Callithrix jacchus: one gene and its partners. The protein of the gene in region 1 interacts with the protein of each later gene in a biochemical or structural test. Links are inferred from orthologs where the notes say so. Each region holds a gene or a part of one and is shown on either strand. Other genes may lie near its edges. The genes, in order: MAP1LC3A, ATG7, PHB2 and MAVS.

What was found.
Region 2: the proteins of MAP1LC3A (region 1) and ATG7 form a complex in vitro, tested with the Homo sapiens proteins (2 studies listed by BioGRID, with this or other methods). The link is inferred for Callithrix jacchus from reciprocal best matches to the Homo sapiens genes MAP1LC3A and ATG7.
Region 3: the proteins of MAP1LC3A (region 1) and PHB2 form a complex in vitro, tested with the Homo sapiens proteins (2 studies listed by BioGRID). The link is inferred for Callithrix jacchus from reciprocal best matches to the Homo sapiens genes MAP1LC3A and PHB2.
Region 4: the proteins of MAP1LC3A (region 1) and MAVS form a complex in vitro, tested with the Homo sapiens proteins (2 studies listed by BioGRID and IntAct, with this or other methods). The link is inferred for Callithrix jacchus from reciprocal best matches to the Homo sapiens genes MAP1LC3A and MAVS.

The regions. Positions count from the first base shown.
Region 1 is NC_133506.1:4,743,807-4,748,830, forward strand, and holds MAP1LC3A (microtubule-associated protein 1 light chain 3 alpha), read right to left. Parts: upstream 3,132-5,024; 5' UTR 2,985-3,131; coding exon 2,945-2,984; intron 2,850-2,944; exon of another isoform or gene 2,781-2,849; coding exon of another isoform or gene 2,774-2,780; intron 2,622-2,773; coding exon 2,566-2,621; intron 2,478-2,565; coding exon 2,371-2,477; intron 2,089-2,370; coding exon 1,926-2,088; 3' UTR 1,509-1,925; downstream 1-1,508. Other genes in the region: GPI-anchor transamidase component PIGU, read left to right, coding at 988-1,101. UniProt on the Homo sapiens protein: Ubiquitin-like modifier involved in formation of autophagosomal vacuoles (autophagosomes). While LC3s are involved in elongation of the phagophore membrane, the GABARAP/GATE-16 subfamily is essential for a later stage in autophagosome maturation.
Region 2 is NC_133516.1:68,590,348-68,595,363, forward strand, and holds part of ATG7 (ubiquitin-like modifier-activating enzyme ATG7), read left to right. Parts: intron 1-873; coding exon 874-1,068; intron 1,069-3,578; coding exon 3,579-3,782; intron 3,783-5,016. UniProt on the Homo sapiens protein: E1-like activating enzyme involved in the 2 ubiquitin-like systems required for cytoplasm to vacuole transport (Cvt) and autophagy.
Region 3 is NC_133510.1:21,231,834-21,236,849, forward strand, and holds part of PHB2 (prohibitin-2), read right to left. Parts: coding exon 4,984-5,016; intron 4,427-4,983; coding exon 4,297-4,426; intron 4,186-4,296; coding exon 4,082-4,185; intron 4,013-4,081; exon of another isoform or gene 3,747-4,012; intron 3,659-3,746; coding exon 3,581-3,658; intron 2,594-3,580; coding exon 2,517-2,593; intron 2,260-2,516; exon of another isoform or gene 2,005-2,259; intron 1,805-2,004; coding exon of another isoform or gene 1,777-1,804; exon of another isoform or gene 1,450-1,776; intron 1-1,449.
Region 4 is NC_133506.1:11,379,619-11,384,634, forward strand, and holds part of MAVS (mitochondrial antiviral-signaling protein), read left to right. Parts: intron 1-1,352; coding exon 1,353-1,525; intron 1,526-2,714; coding exon 2,715-2,874; intron 2,875-4,699; coding exon 4,700-5,016.

The DNA of each region.
Region 1 (5,024 bases):
GAACCACTCAAAGACCCTACCCTGATGGAGGCCCAGGGGAGGAGGCACAGTCAGGCTGTCAGCTGAATGGAAAATTGTACTTTGGATGAGTCTGTATTACTGAATAGAGATTAGTGGGGCTAAGAACTAATCTGGAGGGGGGCAAGTGATCCTTCCTGAGACCTGAAGGGTAAGCAGCTGTCAACTAGATGGACGGGCAGAGAACATTCCAGGCAGAAGAAACAGTAAAGATCCTGCAATGGGATTAGGTGGAGCCGGAAGAGGGTGGGCAGGGACCTGGGCAAGGTCTCAGAGCGCCAGGGAGTTTGAGCTTTGCCCTAAGGCATGGGAAGCCTTTGGAGGATTTGAAGGCTGGAAGTAACAAGACCAGATGTGGGTTTTGAAAAGCTCCCTCTGGCTGCCAGGGAGAATGGGGTGGGTGTGAGTTTGAGAGCAGGGAGCCCAGGGACCAAGCTTTGCTATTTAGATGACAGTGGCTGTCTAGAGTAGTGACTGTGGGGATGTATCGAAAGGGTAGATTTGAGTTTAGGTCATGGTGGCTTGTTGTATGAGAGACGTCTCAGGCAATTTTGTGGCCTGGGCACCTGGATGGAAGATGGGGGCATGGATGCCCAGTGGGAGAAGTGGGTTTGACAGGGGGAAGGTGAGTTTGATGTGGACCTGGCTGGGGTGGAAGTGCCTGTCAGAGGAGGGGGCACAGGCCTCTGGTTGCACAGGCACCAGGCTGGCATTCGAGGCCAGAGCTTAGGATGGAGGTGTAGACCATGGGTGGGGGCACGGGGAGTCTGGACAGCTTCTGAGAGGCCAACAGACCTTGCAGTGTCAAGTACGGGCCCTAAGGTGGGGCCCTGCGCAGGGCCTCTCCAGTGATTGTTGATTCAGGGCCAGGCAGGGGCTCTGTCTCCCATCACCTGCTAGCCTCTCAGGGGTCCTGGGTTCACGGGGTGGTACCCTGCAGCACCTCACATCCTCTCTCTCTCCCCCCAGATCCTGCTCATCTCTGATTACTTCTATGCCTTCCTGCGGCGGGAGTACTACCTCACACACGGCCTCTATTTGACGGCCAAGGACGGCACGGAGGCCATGCTTGTGCTCAAGTAGGCCTGGCTGGCACAGGGCTGCATGGACCTCAGGGGCGGGAAACTGGGCCAGGCCCTCCAGCCAGAGTTGCCAGCAGGCGAGTCCTTGGGCAGAAGAGGTTCAAGTCCAGGGTCACAAGTCTCTGGTATCAAAAGGGACCCATGGCTGACTGCAAGACCTCTGGGGAGGAACTGGGAGCTCTGGAAAAGGCAGGTGAGCAGGGCTTGTTAGGTTGTGGCTACTTAATAAATGTTTTTTGTTACGAAACCTACCCTGGGCCCATATCTGCATTGCACTCCTGGGGGTGGCCCCTAATGTTCTGGAAAGTACACACAGGTGTGTGTTTCTGGTATGTCAGAGCCCAGGGACGGTTCGGACAGCCCCACCAGCACCCTCCCCACTCCCAAGCAAGCAGCTGGAGGCATAGGGCCAGGCAGGCCTGAGCAATCTTTATTCTGCAGAGGGACAATGACCACAGATCCATACACCATGTGGAGATGGAGGGGTGGGGGGGCCAGTCTTTCAGGGGTGGGCAGGTCCAGGTAGTGGGCAGAGCCTCGGGTGGGTGAGGGGCAGGCAGGGGCCTAAAAAAAAAGATGAACCACACAGCAGGAGTGTGGGGGGATGCTTCCCACCTTCCCCCATCCCAGCCAGCACCCAGAGGGGCAACCCTAACAAAACCACTTAGGGGCAGAGGAGGTGGGTTGGTGCCCTCTGACTACGGGGCCACATCCCTGCCCAGCCCACCCCCAAGCAGAGGCAGCTCAGTTCAGGAACCAGGGGTTCTCTGGGCAGGGCCTGACCGGGCTTCCCCCCACTCCCAGGCCGACCCCCCTACTGCTGGCTCAGAAGCCGAAGGTTTCCTGGGAGGCGTAGACCATGTAGAGGAAGCCGTCCTCGTCTTTCTCCTGCTCGTAGATGTCCGCGATGGGCGTGGACACGCTCACCATGCTGTGCTGGCTCACCAGCAGGAAGAAGGCCTGAGTGGGGTTCAGCTGCAGGCGGCGCCTGAGGCAGGCGGGAGGGTGTGCGGCTGTGAGGGACGTGGCTGCAGGGCAGGCACAGCCCTGACCCCCAGAATGATTCCCAGCCTTTCACATCCATCCTCACCCCAGCTCTCACCTCTGACCCGACTCCAACTGCAGCCCCGACCTTGACCTTTCCAGCCGCGCCAGAACAGGGGCCCACCGCCTGGTCCCATCACTACTGACCCCACTCCCACCTCCTCTCGGCGGGAACCCGGCTCCCCGCCAGACCCAAGCTGCCTCCTGGCGGCGGCTGCCCACGCACCGGATGATCTTGACCAACTCGCTCATGTTGACATGGTCCGGGACCAGGAACTTGGTCTTGTCCAGGACGGGCAGCTGCTTCTCACCCTTGTAGCGCTCGATGATCACCTGGGAGCGGGGCAGGCGGGCAGGGGTTCGTGTCGGGGGCGCGCGAGGCGCGGCCAGGGCGGGGCAGGGCTGGGGGCACCGGACTCACCGGGATCTTGCTGGGGTGCTGGTCGCGGATCTGCTGTACCTCCTTACAGCGGTCGGCTGCGGATGGCGGCCGGACCTTGAGGCCGGGCTGAGCCGGGCCCAGGTCCTCCCCGTGTCTCCGCCCCGCCTGTCCCCAAGGGGCGGCCCCCGGCCCCGCCCCAGCTCCAGCCCCCGCCCCCGGGGCCGGCAGGCCCCACAGCCCCTAGCACCTATCATGGTGGGGAGGTGGGCGGCCTCCGCCCAGGCTGGAGTCAGCCTCCCATCCCGAGGGTCCGGCTGGGGCCTGACGTCACAGGACTGACGTCACCCGCGGTAGTCGGGGTCGGCCGGGCCCCCGCGTACCCCTGCTCCGAGCTCACAGCTTGCCCGCGGGGCCTCACCGAAGCTCCGCCGCTGCTTGAAAGGCCGGTCTGAGGGCATCGCGCGGGCCCGGTTGGGCGCGCAGGCCGGGGCTCTGGGACGTGGGGATGTGGCTGCGGTTTGGGGGCTCCGGGGGCTCCGTGCCTCACGCTGAAGGGCTCCGGGGCTCGCGCTGAGCGCGGCGGCGGCGGCTGCGGGAGGTAACTCGCCCGGTGACGTCAGGTCACAACATTCCTTAAAGGGGAGGCCGGCGCACTGCTCCCATTGGGCCGACGCACAACCTGCCCGCCCGGGCTCATGACGTCACGGCGCAGAGCCCCTGGGTCCCCGGCTCGGGACGCGAGGGGCGGGGCTCCTGGGCGCGTCACAGTCCTGTGACGTCATGGCCGGCCCAGGAGTCTCTCCCGGCGCGGAACTCAGGTGAGGCCTGGAGGGCGGCGGGGCTGCCAAGGGCTGAGGGAATGGGCGGGCCAGGCTGCAGCCCCGCGGCACCGCTCCCCGCGCCCTCACCGAGTCTGTGCCAGGCCTGGCGCGATTCTGGGCACCGTGGGAAACAGCCGGCGCCTTCTAGGGGCTCAGGACGAGAGACGGGAGAAGGTGCAGGAGGCACAGGATCAAGCAAGACATCACAAAAGAAGGCCCAGGTTTGCAAAGGAATTCTAGAATTGACAAGTAGAGCCATGGAAATTCAGGTCTCGGAGGATGAGGTGTAGGACAGCAGAAAAGAGTGCGCGGACCTGGAGGCTGATCGGAAGCAGCTCACCAGAGAGACAGGTGATGGAGAATAAAAAGGAAAAAGCCACGGATGGCAATGCCGGGAGATCTCACAGGCCGGGGCAGAGCTCCCTGCAGAGGCAGTTCCTGAAGGAGAGCTGCCAGAAGTGATTCTTAAAATCGGGTGGAATGCAAACACCGGAGATGAACATCTGGACGCTAGTGAATCTGCAGAACTCCAAAGACTATGCGATTTTAAAAGCGACCAAGGATGATGGATTTTAAAAATTACACCAATAACAAACTTCTCAGCAGCAAACGTAGAAGGCTACAGTAAAATGTAACGCTTTACACCTCGTTGACAGGAAAAATGCTGTCAACGAGGTGTTGATCCATGATTTAAGAGTTAAGAAGTAAAGATAGGTGGTGACAAAGAGCTTACACGAAAGACTGTTGCTGAAATTATTTTTGGGGGGTGGGACTGAGTCGTTCTGTCGCCCAGGCTGGAGTGCACTGGCGCAATCTCAGCTCACTGCAACCTCCACTTCCCGGGTTCAAGCGATTTCTCCTGCCTCAGCCTCCTGAGTAGCTAGGACTACAGGTACGTGACACCACACCCAGCTAATTTTGTATTTTTAGTAGAGACGGGGTTTCACCACGTTGCCCAGGATAGTTTTGATCTCCTGACCTCGTGATCCATCCGTCTCCGCCTCCCAAAGTGCTGGATTACAGGCGTGAGCCACTGAGTGCGGCAGCTGAAATAATTTTTAAAGAATGTACTTCAGTAACAAGCACATGGAACCGAAAAGGAAGAAATTAGATGGAAAAATGGTGAGCAAATTGGTAAACGTGAGTAAATCTAAACAAGCATGTAATATGCAACATGAATAATGATTAATTTGCGGGCTACAGAAACAAGATGTATGAGACGCAAGAACTTGGAAGACTGAGAGGGCAGAGTTAAGGTGTTCTCGGAAGGGTAAAGAGACTGAGCATTGTTAGGCTTTGTAAAGTTAGGTGAGTATTTCAGATATTTAAGAGGGATCATCAAAAGAGTAGAAACGGAACTGTAACTGCCAATGCCGAGAAAAGGGTGGTGATGGGTATTAAAACTAATAGCAAAGTAAAGCAAAGTAAAAGGGATGGTAAATAAATGGTACAAAACCCGAGGCAGAAAATGTGGTTTACCTTCATTTCTCAAAACACAGATTACCAGATCGGCCAAGAAAAAATAAAATGCAGCTCTATGCTGTTTACAAGAGGACATTTAAAACCTAAGGGCACCAAAAGTAAAAAGATGGCAGCTGGGTACAGCGGCTCACGCCTGTAAGCCCAGCTCTTTGGGAGGTCGAGGCAGGCTGATCACTAGGTCAGGAGTTGGAGACT
Region 2 (5,016 bases), on another chromosome or scaffold:
CTGGACAGCTTCTGCATTTGGACAGAGTGAAGCCTTACTCTGTTCCACACTCTGCCATCACCCACCATAACTCCTTCCCCCACAAAAATATCTGCATACTCCTAAGTAGATTTTCTGGCTCTAAATTACCAAATAGAGTTTTTTGTTTTGGGGTTTTTTAAATGCATATACCCTTGAAGGATTAAGGCAAAATCATCAGTCATTCTAATCCCCAGCAATTTGGAGGCTGAGGCAGAAGGATTCCTTGAGCCCAGGAGTTCAAGACTAGCCTAAGCAACATAGTGAGGCCTTATTTCTATTAAAAATAAAAAAAATCAGCCAGGTGTGGTGACGTGTGCCTGTAGTCCCGGCTACTTGGGAAGCAGAGGTGGGAGGACCCCTTGAGCCCAAGAGGTCAAGGCTACAGTGAGCTGTGATTGTGCCATTGCCATCTAGCCTAGGTGACAGAGCAAGACCTTGTCTTTAAAAAAAAAAAAAAAAGAGGTACTTGAATAGCCAGAAGGTGCTCTGATAAAGTTTCTTGGCCTTGGATGGCTGGAAAGAGCCAAAGATACACAGTTTTCTCCAGTGTTTTCCTTACCTCAGGTAGAATGTGCCCTCTCTACTTTGGGACTGAGATCCGTATGTCTCTGCTTGCTGCCCCGCGCTGCCTGCCCTGCCCTGCCCTGCCTCAGAGCCCTGGGGTTATAAATCAAGGTGTTCTAGGATGCAGAGGTAAAGAAGAGAGACATGGGAAGGGTACAGCATAATAGTGCACAGGGAGATCTCATGTAAGCGACCACAAGTATGTGCAGGCAGCTGTGGAAAGTGTGGGCTCTGAGATAGTGCCTATACCATTGCTCCAGAGATAACTACATCCTGGTGTTTCCATAGAATGCCAGGGGATTCAACATGAGCATCCCCATGCCTGGGCATCCAGTGAACTTCTCCAGTGTCACTCTGGAGCAAGCCCGCAAGGATGTGGAGCAACTGGAGCAGCTCATCGAAAACCATGATGTTATTTTTCTGTTGATGGACACCAGGGAGAGCCGGTGGCTTCCTGCCGTCATTGCTGCAAGCAAGAGAAAGGTAGGTACTGTCTCCGATTACGATTTAATACACCACCACCCCAGAGGAAGGAGTGTCCCTAACCTTCCCTTCCCCAGGGCAGAGATGTGGCTTGTGACCTGGTAGCACAGTGCCAAAGGGCTTCTGCTTCAGACTGTCTTTGCCTTGCACACCATCACCCAATGTAATAGGTATCATTTACTGCTTAATTTTCATAATAATCTTCTAAGATACTCTACACTGAAAGGTATACTGTATTTACATTAAAATGTAAGCTCCAAGAGGTCAGAGACTTTGTCTTATTCACTACTACTTGGTCAATGACAACTAAAAGGGCCAACAGTATTCAATAGTGAACTAAATCATGGTGCATACCTATAATGGAATAGTATGCAGCTATTCACAGTTATGTTTTCAAAGGATTTTAATAAGATGGAAAATGTCACATTATATTAAAGAAGATACAATATGATATATATTTTGTACTAATTATGTTTATATATAAACATTTATATATGTCTTCCTATCTGTCTACTGAGAGAGAAGAGAGGAAGAGGGCAAGAAGAAAAGAGAAAGAGAAAGAATGGGAGGGAAAGGGAGAAAATAGTAGGAAGAAATACCCCAAATTATTAATAGTAATTTTTTGAGCTGTGGGTTGTGAGTGATTTTTGTTTTCTTTTGTAGTGTGGTTATTCTTTATTTTTCAAAGTTTCTATATAATCAGAAATTTGGGATAATAAGTTAAATTAGAACTATGAAAAGTTGTTAGAATATAATTTAAAAATAGTTTCTAAAAAAATCCATGTGTTGGGCTGGACATGGTGGCTCACATCTGTAATCCTAGCACTTTGGGAAGATTGCTTGACCCAGGAGTTTGAGACTAGACTGGGCAACATGGTGAGACTGTCTCCACAAAAAAAGACAAAAAATTAGCAAGGTGTGTTAGTACACACCTGTGCTCCTAGGTACTTGGGAGGCTGAGTTAGGAAGATCACTTGAGCCTGGGAGGTAGAGGCTGCAGTGAACTGAGATCATGCCCATTGCAGTCCAGTCTGTGCAACAGAGGGAGATCCTGTCTCAAAAAAAGAAACAAAAAAGAAAACTACACGGAGCCAGGCATGGTGGCATGTGCCTGTAAGTCCAGCTACTGGGATACCAAAAAAAAAAAAAAAAATTGGGCCAGGTGCAGTGGCTCATGCCTGTAATCCCAGCACTTTGGGAGGCTGAGGTGGGCAGATCACAAGGTCAAGAGATCAAGACCATCCTGGCCAACATGGTGAAACCCCGTCTCTACTAAGAATAGAAAAATTAGCTGGGTTTGGTGGCACACACCCAGCTACTCAGGAAGCTGAGGCAGGAGAATCACTTGAACTGAGGAGGCAGAGGTTTCAGTGAGCCGATATTGTGCCACTGCACTCCAACCTGGGCGGCAGAGCGAGACTCTGTCTCAAAAAAAAAAAAAAAAAGTCTATGTGAAGGGTGGATTATATGGTATGTGAATTATATCTCAGTAAAGCTGTTATAAAAACAGATCTAAGCCAGGCACGGTGGCTCATACCTGTAATCCCAGCACTTTGGGAGGCCGAGGCTGGGTGATCACTTGAGGTCAGGAATTCAAGATAAGCCTGGCCAACATAGCAAAACCCCGTCTCTACTAAAAGTATAAAAATTAGCCAGGTGTAGTAGTGGGTGCTTGTCATCCCAGCTACTTGGGAGGCTGAGGCAGGAGACTCACTTGAACCTGGGAGGCAGAGGTTGCAGTGAGCCAAGACTGTGCCATTGCACTTTAGTCTGGGCAACAAGAGCGAAACTCCATCTCAAAAAAAAAAAAAAAAATCTGTGTGGACATGACAGTATAGCATAATGGTGGAAAGAATGGGTTTGAGAACTATGTAGACTTGGTTTTACATACCTACCTCTTGCCAGTTAAGTGACCTTGGGCAAGTTATAGAACTAACTTCTCTGACTTTCAGTATCCTCATCTGTAAATGAGAAATGTTTGTTATGAGGTTTTTTTTGTTGTCGTTGATAGAATCTTGCTTTGTTGCCCAGGCTGGAGTGCAGTGGCATAATCTCGGCCCACTACAACCTCCACCTCCCGGGTTCAAGCGTTTCTCGTGCCCCTGCCTCCTGAGTAGCTGGGACTACTGCTCAGCTAATTTTTTGTATTTTTAGTAGAGACAGTGTTTCATCATGTTGCCAGGCTGGTCTTGAACCCCTGAGCTCAGACAGTCTGCCTGCCTCGGCCTCCCAAAGTGCTGGGATTAATTACAGGTATGAGCCACCATGCCAGGTCTGTTAGGAGTTTCAAATGAAATTAAATGAGATAATTTATGTTTATCACTTATCAAGTCTTTTGTACTTAATAAGCCCTCAGTAGTGGGTAGCTTTTATCATCATTAGCTTTTAGAATCTAATTACACTTACATGCAAAAAATAAATTTTAAAAAGTTGAGCAAATATGGGATTAGCCACAGTTTGTGGCTATATGTGTTTTTTAACTCTGCTCTTTTATTCCTTGAAACCTGTAGCTGGTCATCAATGCTGCTTTGGGATTTGACACATTTGTTGTCATGAGACATGGCCTGAAGAAACCAAAGCAGCAAGGAGCTGGGGACTTGTGTCCAAACCACCCTGTGGCATCTGCTGACCTCCTGGGCTCATCACTTTTTGCGAACATCCCTGGTTACAAGCTTGGCTGTTACTTCTGCAATGATGTGGTGGCCCCAGGAGATGTAAGTGGATTTCTCTATAGTTTCAAATATTTCCTATGACCAACTTGTGCACTGGGCAGACAGACACAGCCCTTTCACTTATGACTATTTAAAAATTATCTTTTAACAAAGAGAAGAATTCTCCAATTTGGGGAGGATGGTATTCTCTCACTATGAACCTTGACTAGTGTCATCAACTGTACAGCTGTTCCTTGTTCACCAATACAAAGGCAGCTACAAACCATATTTTTGGAAAGCTTATTGAGGAAACCACAGCCGACTAGTCCCTGATAGCACTCAGTATTGTCTCCTGTGTTTCTCTTAGTCAAGACAGTATTAGAAATGAGGAGTCTAAAGACCAGATTCCATCAATGGCTTGACACTGCCTCCTAGGTAATTCCAAAAAGTCTCTTAGGTTCCCTCTGCCTCTGCAAAATAGGAGTGGTGTGGAGGCTTGTCAGATTTAGTAAGTAAAAGTATAGGATTCCCAGCTAATTTTGAATTTCAGTTAGTAATGAATAATTTTTTAGTATATGTCCCATATAATATTCAAGACCCATTTATACTAAAAATTTATTTATCTGAAATTCAGGTTTAGCTAAGTGTCTTGTATTTTCCCTGGCAATGCTAATAAGGCAAGGGAGAATACTTTCCCTGTCAACTCACAGTGCAAAGTGGGTCAAGTGCATCAATGCTTTGAACAGCAAGACCACACCGTACAAATTAAGAGTCTATGGCTTTCAGGTCTTCATACAAGTCAGTCTGTAGGGCTATTCCTTTATCAGAACCGATAATAATTCCAGGAAAGCAATGCAGAGATGTTTTCTGTAAACTCCCCTCTATTTTACCTTTGTTTTAAAACATTTTCCTTAATAGCTCATACCTCTTTTGGATAACTGGCTTTTATGTCCTCCCAATATAAAGAAAAGAAGATGACCATTCTCTTATATGAAGAAGGATGGCTTGATGATCTCTGTCATGGTGTTATAATATACAGCTGGTTTTTTTATTTAGTTGTTGCCAACAAAGTATGATTAGTGGTCCCTTGCAGTAAAGTCCCATCTGCTTATATGGTAAAATTTTCATAGTCAAAAATATCCCTGACAACCCCTTAATTTACCCAGAGTTGGATGGTTAGAATCTGTTTGCTTGAACCAGCAAAGGCTTGTGTTTAGAGCCATGCTGTAGAAAAAAAATACTTGTAGTAAACCCTAGAATCACACTGAGAGAGAGGCGTTGCCCATGTTGTGAGAGA
Region 3 (5,016 bases), on another chromosome or scaffold:
GCACCAGGGGTGGCTCTCGTTGGCTGGCTGCCACTCAGGGACACAATGGGCCCCGGCCCCTCCTCCCACCCAGTGCGGTTTGTCACCTAGTGGATCCAGAACCCACAGTCGACCTTGAGCTTGGGATCGGCTCGCCCCGTCAGGAGACCTCACCTGGCCTGTGGCCAGGGTCCCTGTAGCAGCTGGAGCGTTCTCGCCGTAGCTCTCCATTGGCCCGCCCTGGGTCCATCTTCCAGTACAGTGTTGGATGGTCTAATTGTGAAGCTCCTAACACTGTCTGGTAAAGATGGCCCCCGGGTCGGTTCTTTCGGCTGTAACTTTCAGGGAGCCCTGAAGACCATGGAGGCCTACTGACCAACGACCTCTGATCTTTACCCCTCCGGATGGGGGACGGATCACTAGGCAAAGGGGAACAATGGGAAGGAGACAAAATGGCTGCCTCTACAGCTGCAGCAAGATTTGGAAACACTGGTTCCCCAGGCACCTCCATTGTCTTCCCCTTGGAAACATGAAATAAATAAAGTGTGACTAGGAACATGAGGAAGATTGATCCAGGTCACTTGACCTGTCTTTTGTCCCACTGTTGATCTCATCTTAGCTGCACGGTAACTCGGGATTGGGGCTGCGGTATCTGCTTCGTCTTTCATGATACTCAACCCTAAGCAGAGAAAAACATCCTAAAAATCGAAGCAGATTAACTCAGTCCCTCTGTTCAGATCCACTGCTGCCCTATCTGCATTTGGTAGTTCCTGCACATACTTTATCCCCAGGTTTCGCCTTAGAGTTCTAAACTTTCCTTGTCTCCCTGTAGGGATGGGAAATGGGCCGTAGTGGGAGATTCAGGTATAAACGGTGACTTGGTTTCTCTGTTGCTTGAGATTCAGGAAGGGCTGTCTTGGGAAGAAGTGTCAGCTTATCTGTGGACTCAACAGGCACCTGTTCTGTTGGCCCCAGAGCTGAGGGAGTGACAAGCCCACCTTCACAGAGAGCCCTGCTAGTGAGTAGCTCCTCACGCCTGGTGACTGAGAAATGGAATCTGGTGGCCCACATCAGGCCATGGGATCCACTGGGCTTCTAGGCACAGAAGCCCCTCCACAGGCACAGGCAGGCTCCCCAGAACCACATGGAACTCTGCTACCAAGAAAGCAGCTCCTGTTGGGGTCATCAGATTTTTAATCTGGCTCAGCAAAGCCACAGCTGCTCCAGCTCTAAAAAAAAAGGGTGATGTGGGAGAAATGGAGGGTGGGGTGAAGAGTGCAGCTGGGCCTCTAGACCCCAGGGCCAGCCTTTCCAGCTTAGGTCGTTTTGGAGCCCAGGCCCTGCTTCCCCTTAGCTGCCCCAGTCAGAGTCTTTTGCGCCCTCTGCTGGCAGACACAAAGACGGCCCCAGGAGTGCCTATGTGACTGCGCATGCGTGCTGCTCATGACCATGTGAAGCACTGACTTCAGCTTAGGTAATAAAAATTTATTGAGAATTCCTGGGTTGGTGGTTATCTCCTCCCAGCCTTGAGGGAGGGAACAACACTGTAGGAAATCACTGAGAAATCACACACTGTCCCAACATCCCCGGCCGACACAGGGAGGAGGAAAGTAATTCCCCAGAAAAGGGGCTGGTCTTCAGTCTTCCTTAATCCAAGAGGGGTTCGGGGAACGGGTACAGGGGACCATCGCATGATACTGGGGTGGGGGTAGGGCTGTGCTGGACCCCAGGCTGGCTCCTCAAAAACAGGAGAAGCAGATCCACTTCCTCTGGGGATGGAGTTCTCGGTGACTAGGCTCACTTCTTACCCTTGATGAGGCTGTCACTGTAGGAAAGACAGATGATGACATTATTAGGGGACATAAATGTGACAGGCAAGACACTAGGCCATTCCCTCAACGACCCTCCTGCCCCATTGAGGGTTTGTCTGTGGGGAGGTAGGAAAAGGCAGTGGGGTAGAAGGCAGGTATTGGGAGAAGGTGGCCTGCAGGACCCCACAGGAACAAGGATGCAGCAACAACTTACCTTCCTCTGTGGTGCCAGATCACCAGATGAACAGGAAACAGAGAAGAGAAATGCACATGTTAACTGACAGCTTCAGGCCCCACTCAGCTTTGAACCCTCCTTTGCTCCCAGGACAACAGAGGAACAGGGCCGGCAGCCAGGAATCTCAGGCCCATGAGAGGAGGCGGCGTTTCTCATGGCCACTGCTATCTCTGGTCTCCTTCCCTAGCATCCTTCCATGCACCTGAGCAGTTCTAGGGCTCCTGAGTAAGGAAACTGAGTACCATCTTTCATCACTTCGCGGTTAGATAAAGACTTTACAATTAAAGTGCTTTTTATGTGAATAATCCTATTGATCTCATAAAATCAATCCTATGAGATGCAGGATAAAAACTGCCAACCACTCCCTTTTCTAATTTTGGTTCAGTGTCTCTCTGAGCCATATGAACAGCTGTAGCAGGCTCCAGAGCCCAAGCAACCAGACTCAAGTCCCACGTTCTTGTGATGCCCCACTGTGTGGTCACATCTCTCACCGAGTGAAACTTTCATCCTGTAGGTTCAGCACAAGGTTGTCAGCAGTGAGATAGATGCGATTCTGTGATGTGGCGATCTACAGGGGAGGAAATAAGACAGATGCTTACATTGAGCAAAGACCTCAATTCCAACCCCTGCAATTCAGTAGCCACTTAATGGAACACAGCAATGAATAAGATGTGGTTTCTGCTCTTATTCAGGGATCCAGAGCAGTGAGCAGCAGCTATGATTATTGGCACCATAAAGAGGCAAGAACAAAAGGTTAGGGAACCCAGAGGAATAATTTTTTTTTTTTTTTTTTGAGATGGAGTTTCGCTCTTGTTACCCAGGCTGGAGTGCAATGGCGCTATCTCGGCTCACCGCAACCTCTGTCTCCTGGGCTCAAGCAATTCTCCTGCCTCAGCCTCCCGAGTAGCTGGGACTATAGGCGTGTGCCATCATGCCAAGCTAATTTTTGTATTTTTAGTAGAGACGGGGTTTCACCACATTGACCAGGATGGTCTCGATCTCTTGACCTCGTGATCCACCCGTCTCGGCCTCCCAAAGTGCTGAGATTACAGGCGTGAGCCACCATGCCCGGCCCCAGAGGAATCATTCTTGATGAGGGGAAAAGATGCAGAGAAGCCAATTTTTTTTTTTTTTTTTTTTTTTTTTTTGAGACAGTCTTGCTCTGTTGCCAAGGCCGGAGTATAGTGGCACCATCTCAGCTCACTATAACCTCTGCCTCCCAGGTTCAAGTGATTCTCTTGCCACAGCCTCCTGAGTAGCTAACTGGGATTACAGCTGCATGCCACCATGCCTGGCTCTTTTTTTTTTGTACTTTTAGTAGAAATGAGGTTTCACCATGTTGGCCAGAGTGGTCTTGCACTCCTGACCTCAGGTGATCTGCCGGCCTTGGCTTCCCAAAGCGCTGGGATTACAGACATGAGCCACTGCACCCGGCTAGAGAAGCCAATCTGAGTAGAAACCCGAACAAGCAAGATTCGAATTCCCTCACTTCAGTGTGCTGAAAGCACTTTCTCACAAGACAGCCACATCAGAGATGCCAGGCTGACACGCTCACCGTCTTGGAGATATTCTGGGCTGCCCGGATCTTGCGAAGTTTGATGTAGCCAGGGTTCTTGCTCAGAGCTTCTCCAAGGTGAGTAGAGTTAAGGTTCACACAAGGGCAGGCCTCAATCCCTGGCCCCATCCTTACCACACTCCCTTGCTGCAGTCCTCCTCTGGGCTGTCAGATCCAAGGTTGCGCTCAGGTGACTTGGCCCAGCCCTACCTTGGACCCCACCTGTGGGCCTCCCTGTAGGCTGCTGCCAGGAACTGAGGGCAGCAGCAGAAATGAAGGCGAGGCCAGCAATGCTATTGATCTGGCCTTACAGTGGGGAGTCAGGCCTTGGCTACCCCCACCAAGATTTCAGATCTCATCTGTAGTCCCCACCCCCAAGGAGCCAAGGGCCGGAGGGCACGGAGTCGCATTCGCCTTAGTCTCATCAGCCTGCCCATTAAGGAGGATGGGGAACACAGGTGCCCTATGGGTTGGGCTGAGATCTCTCCAGCAGAAAGATATCATCTTGGCAGCCTCGGCCTCACCCTCGGCCTGCACGATCTTCTGCCGCTGTTCCTGCTTTGCTTTTTCTACCAAGAACTGGGCCCGCTGGGCCTCCTGTTGGGCTGTGGTGGGAGAGAGTCAGGTAGACCCGGTCCTGGGTCAGGAGCCCCTTCATGGAGTCTTTCCTCCTCCTGCACCTCGGAAGCCCTCGCCCCACTGCTCTTGCGACTCACCCACTTGTTTGGCTTCTACAGCAGCTGTGTACTCTCGGCTAAAGCTCAGCTCTGTGATGGCTACATCATCCAGGATGAGGCTGAAGTCCTTGGCCCTCTCTGTCAGTTCCCGGCGGATCAACAGGGATACCTGGGTGGGGGGTGAGGAGGGAAAGGGCAGGGTGGTTTGAGGGGACTGGAGAACTGAAAGGAAAGTTGTGTTGTGTGACCATCTTAACAACAGATCTCCTGAGAATGGCAGAAAAATCATCAACCCTTCCTCAGTGCCTCACCACAATATCTGAGTTGGAAGGGACTTGATTCAATCTTTTCATGTGACAGATGAGACACCTTAGAGAGATGACAGGACCGCTCCAGCTCACAGTGACCCCTAATCCTTCACTCTCCCCAATACAATACGAATTGCATTAGCTTCCTGTTGGGCAAACCTGTAACATATGCCTATCTGCTGAAAGAGGTGCAGGAAAAGCCAAGACTGGGACATTTCCCTCCATGCTTCCTAACGCCAAGTGCTATCGAGTTCTAACACTGGCTCTCCTTATTTCACAGGGGCAATTAGCACAGCTTTTAGGTGGAAATGGCAGTAGGGTGACAATCCTTTTCTAATAAGCTGCCTTTCCTAGTTCCCAATACCCCGGACCTAGGAGGGAAAGGCTGACACCATGCAGACGGTGGTGGAAGTCAGACCTGGGCGCGCTGGGTGATCAGCTGTGAGGCATT
Region 4 (5,016 bases), about 6.6 Mb from region 1:
AACTGTGGGAAATCCATGTTTTCTTTTCTTTCTCTCTCTCTCTCTTTATTTTCTCCATTTTAGAGACAGAGTCTTGCTCTGTCAAGCTGGAGAGCAGTGGTGCAATCATAGGTCACTTCCACCTTGACTTCCTGGGCTCAAGCAATCCTTCCACCTCAGCCTCCAGAGTAGCTGGGACTACAGGCATGTGCCACCACACTTGGCTAATTTTCAGAATTTTTTTGTAGAGATGAGGTCTCACTATGTTGCCCAGGCTGCTCTTGAACTCCTGGGCTCAAGAGGTTGGCCTCCAGGAGTGCTGGGATCATAGGTGTGAGCCACCGTGTCTGGCTCTCATGTTTGCTTTTCTTTCCTTTTTCTCCTCCTTGCTTCCCCCCTCTTTCTTCTTCCCTTCCTCTCTTTCTTCCTTCCTTTTCCCTCCTTCTTTTTAACTATGTCTCTTGATGTATGGAGATTATTAATAGTGATCCCCTGACTACAATGGCTGTGGAAGGGCCTGATGGGTGGTGGAGGCAAAGGGGAGGGGCTGAGGCGGCAGCATCAGGGCAGGGGTCAGTGAGCAATGACAGCCATGTGGAGGAGAAAGCCACTGGGTCCCAGGATGTCTGGGGACAGAGGAGGGTGACTGCTGACATGGTCTGGGTGGTGAGAGACCCATGATGCCCCCCCCGCACACTCCCCCTGCTCCCTTGCTCCCTTGTCCTCCAACTGCTCTCTCCTTCCCACTCCTGCCCCCTTGCCAGTGATGCTTGTTACTCTGAGGAGTGGACCCACATCAGAACAGCTTTTGGACCTATGGGTGGGACAGGGGGGTGTACCCAAGAGCACCCAAGCCTCTTCCATCATGAGGAATACCTCTGATTCCTTCTTTTCTTTTTTTTTTTTTTGAGACGGAGTCTCAGTCAGTCACCTAGGGTAGAGTGCAGTGGTGTGACTTTGGCTCACCGCAGCCTCTGCCTCCCAGGTTCAAGTGGTTGTCCTGCCTCAGCCTCCCTGTAGTTCCTGATTCCTTCTTTCCACCCTGCCTCCGCAGAGCAAGATGGAATCTTGTTCTGTTGCCCAGGCTGGAGTACAGTGGTGCAATCTCAGCTCACTGCAGCCTCCGCCTCCCAGCTTCAAGCAATTCTGCCTCAGCCTCCCAAGTAGGTGGATTACAGGCACGCACCACCATGCCCCACTAATTTTTGTATTTTTAGTAGAGATGGGGTTTTACCATGTTGACCAGGCTGGTCTCAAACTCCTGACTTCCCAATCTACCCACCTTGGCCTCCCAAAGTGCTGGAATTATAGGCATAAGCCACAGCACCCAGCCCCTGATTCCTTCTTGATATCACTGCATCTTTGTCCTCCAGGGACCCCGGAACATCCTCCAGCCCCACTGGAGCCACCGTCAGTTTCTGCTGAGGTACCAGGACCCTCCACGCCTGCTGCAGCCCACAGCATCCCCTACAATGGCTATAGAGAGAAGGAGCCAAGCTACCCCATGCCTGTCCAGGAGTCCCAGCCGCCAGAGTCCCTGGAAGAGGTCTGTCCTCACAGTCCACCTTGAGCCACCTGCTTTTGCATTCCTGTCTGCCCACTTCTGCCCATGAGCCTTCCTCCAGAAACCCCCTCCTGTCCACTATAAATTATGCCTAATCTCTGCTCAGAAACCCAAGGCTTCCTTAGTGGAGTTCTGCCCCAGACCAGCTTCCAGACTGCTGACCAGGTTTTCACCCTGTGGCAGTCTAATCCTCTGTCACCAACCAGCTGGGAGATGACAGGTTTTTTTGTTTTTTTTTGTTTTGAGACAGTGTCTCATTCTGTCACCCAGGCTGGAGTGCAGTGGAGCGATCTTGACTCACTGCAAACTCCGCTTCCTGGGTTCAAGTGATTCTGCTGCCTCAGCCTCCTGAGTAGCTGGGATTACAGGCACCCACCATGATGCTGTCTAATTTTTGTATTTTTAGTAGAGATGGTGTTTTGCCATGTCAGCCAGGCTGATCTCAAACTCCTGGCCTCAGGTGATCTGCCCACCTTGGCCTCCCAAAGTGCTGGGATTACCAGTGTGAGCCACCGCCCCTGGCTGGAGACCACCACAGTTTTGAGGTCTTTGCAATGTTCCATATGAGATGTTGCATTGGGTGGAGGAACCCAGGGAGGGGCCAGATGAGGGAGAGTGAGGGAGCAGGCAATTATGGGAGCAGGGGTGATTGGCGGGACTGTCATTATTGCCAAAAGGTCAAGTTTGGGGGAAAGATGACCGATTCTATGAAGATAAATGAGTGGGCAGTGGGGTGTCCAGGAGACACCAAACCATGAACCTGAAGCCTAAGAAAGGGATCTGTGATCCCCTGAACACAGTGGCTGTGGTAGGGATAGGATGAATGGAGGTGGGAAAGGGGAGGGACAGAGAAGGCAGCATCAGGGCAGGGATCAGCTAGCGGTGACAGCCATGAGGAGAAAACCAGTGGCTGCCGAGAGGGAGATCTTTCTTCAGGGCCACACAGTTAGACAGGGAGTCGCCCAGGGATGCTGTGTGTTTTCTGTGAGGTAAATGCAAGGACACCTGTGGACAGAGGGTCTGGCAATTACCAGAACCCAAGCAATGGCTCCCTGGCTCCTGTGCTTCATGGTGTGGGCTGAGGTCTGTAGGAGACGTCCCAAAAGCACAAGCTGCCCTTTGCGAGCTCTTGGGAGAGGTAACTGCCTTATTCATATTTTCCCTCTTGCAGAGTTCAGAGCAAGCCCCGCAGATGCTCAGTCCCGGAGCCATCCCAAGGAGGCTGGGTGGTGGCCCTGTGGAGCCCTCCGCTGACCTGGCAGCCCTTAGCCCTGTGACCTCCAGTGGGCATCAGGAGCAGGACACAGAACTGGGCAGTACCCACACAGCAGGTATGCATGGAATCTGGAATTATAGGGCCCGTCCGATCTCTCAAGTGAAGGCGAGAATTAGAGATGCCCCTCTGGCTTCCTTGAATAGGAGGCAAGGTGGGAATAAAGGGAGTTCAATGCAGGAAGCAAACCAGTTCCTTATAGGGTGTATCAGTTAGCATTTGCTGTGTAACAAATAGTCCACTCCAGTTTTCCAATTTTTGTTTTTTTTATTAGCTTAAAATGCAGCCATTTATTTAGCACATGATCCTGTGGGTCAGCTATTTGGGCTACCTATCTGGGAAGTTCTTCTGGTCTTGGCTGAAATTCTTCTCAAGTACTCACTGGTATATATATAAGTTCTGCCTCTGGCTATTGGCTGAACACCTTGGTTCTCTTCTTTGTAGTCTCTTGTCCTCCAGCACACAAATCCATCATGGCTGCTGGGCGGAGTTCTGAGACAGACAAGAGAGGGCTCAAAACTAGCACAATGTCCCTGTGCCCCATTCTGTGGGCAAAAACAAGTTATAAGGCCAGCCTAGATTCAAGGAATAGGGAAATAGACTCCCTCTCTAGACAGGAGGACTGACTGGGACAGCGCAGAGGGGCTGGGTGGAGGTGGGCGAGATAAGTAGGGCCGTTTTTGCACTCTGTCAAAGAGACTGTAGGGAGCAACCAGGGCCTGGAGGGCGGTGGGAGAGGGACAGTGCAGGCCTGCACCAGCTATTGGCAGGGAGGCCTTTAGGCACTGCCTTACCACAAAGAGATCGCAATTCCCAGTGAATCCCAAAAACTTCTCAGTCCCCAGAGGAAGTAAGGTCATCATCCAGGGGCCTGGACCCCACTCCAGACCTCAGTGCTCCCCTCAGAAATATATAGTTGTCCGCCTGGACCTCTCAGGCTAGCATGTCTCTCTCCTGCTTTCCAAACTGTTTCACATGACGCTGGTGCCCCGTCAGCCCTCAGTGCCCTGGGACAGCCACAAGGCACATGAGCAGTTAAAGGCTAGGAGACATCATCTCAGTACTTTTGTCATCCCCAAACTGCTCCAGGCACCTGTCTCTGCTTTGCAGTGTCACCTGGCCATGGGATGCCTTTTGGGAGTTGCTGTAGACTATGGAGACAGAAGGTGATTAGGTTTCAGTAGGTCTGTAGACACAGGTCCCGTGAGATTCTATGGTGTGAGATTGTGGTGGTTGGGGTGTACATCGGAATCACCTTGACCTGTGCCAGCTGTGGGGCCTGGCATGTGCATTCCAAGTTCCATGGAGAATCCTGCTGCAACCCTTTATAGACCATCACCACCTGCTACACCCTGCTTCCCCAACACGGGTCAGGCAGCCTCCCAGGGGTGGCTTTGTCCATGTCCCCGCTCTTCCCAAGCCTCTGGGATGGCCGGGCCTCTCGGCTGGTCTGAGCTGTTCTGCCTAAGCCATCCTGCCACCCCTCACCCTGTTTCAGGGCTGTTCCCACTCGTGGTGCTGGAGGAGGGACAGCAGTGGGGGAAGTATCCAGGATTCCATGAGGCTAAGGTCAAGGGGAGGCTTCCCAGGTGGGAGAGGAAAAAGCAGAGAGAATAATAAATAATGATCTTCAAGCTCCAAGGTACCATTTCACTGTGTGTCAGGGTAGACCTGGGGGTACAGATCAAGGACTGAGGGCAGCTGTTGGGCTTTCAGGCTGGGAAGCAGTGACCAAAGGGACTGTGGCATCTCCTCCAAGGGCAACAGATTTGGAGGCCTAAATGCAGTAGGAACCATGAGACCTGGAGCAGAGGGACCCTTCTCCAGGCCTGAAGGTAACAGTCTTTGAGTCTGTGTTTCCACTTGTGTTTTACCACCTGCAGGTGCAACCTCCAGCCTCACACCATCCCGTGGGCCTGTGTCTCCATCTGTCTCCTTCCAGCCCCTGGCCCGATCCACACCCAGGGCAAGCCGCTTGCCTGGACCTGCAGGGTCAGTTTCTACTGGTACCTTCTCCTCCTCATCCCCTGGATTGGCCTCTGCAGGGGTTGAAGAGGGTGACCAGCCCGAGCCTGTCATCTGCTCCAGTGGGGCAGAGGCACCTGCCAACTCTCTGCCCTCCAAAGTGCCTACCACCTTGATGCCTGTGAACACAGTGCCCCCAGAAGTGCCTGCCAACCCAGCATCTGCCAGCACAGTG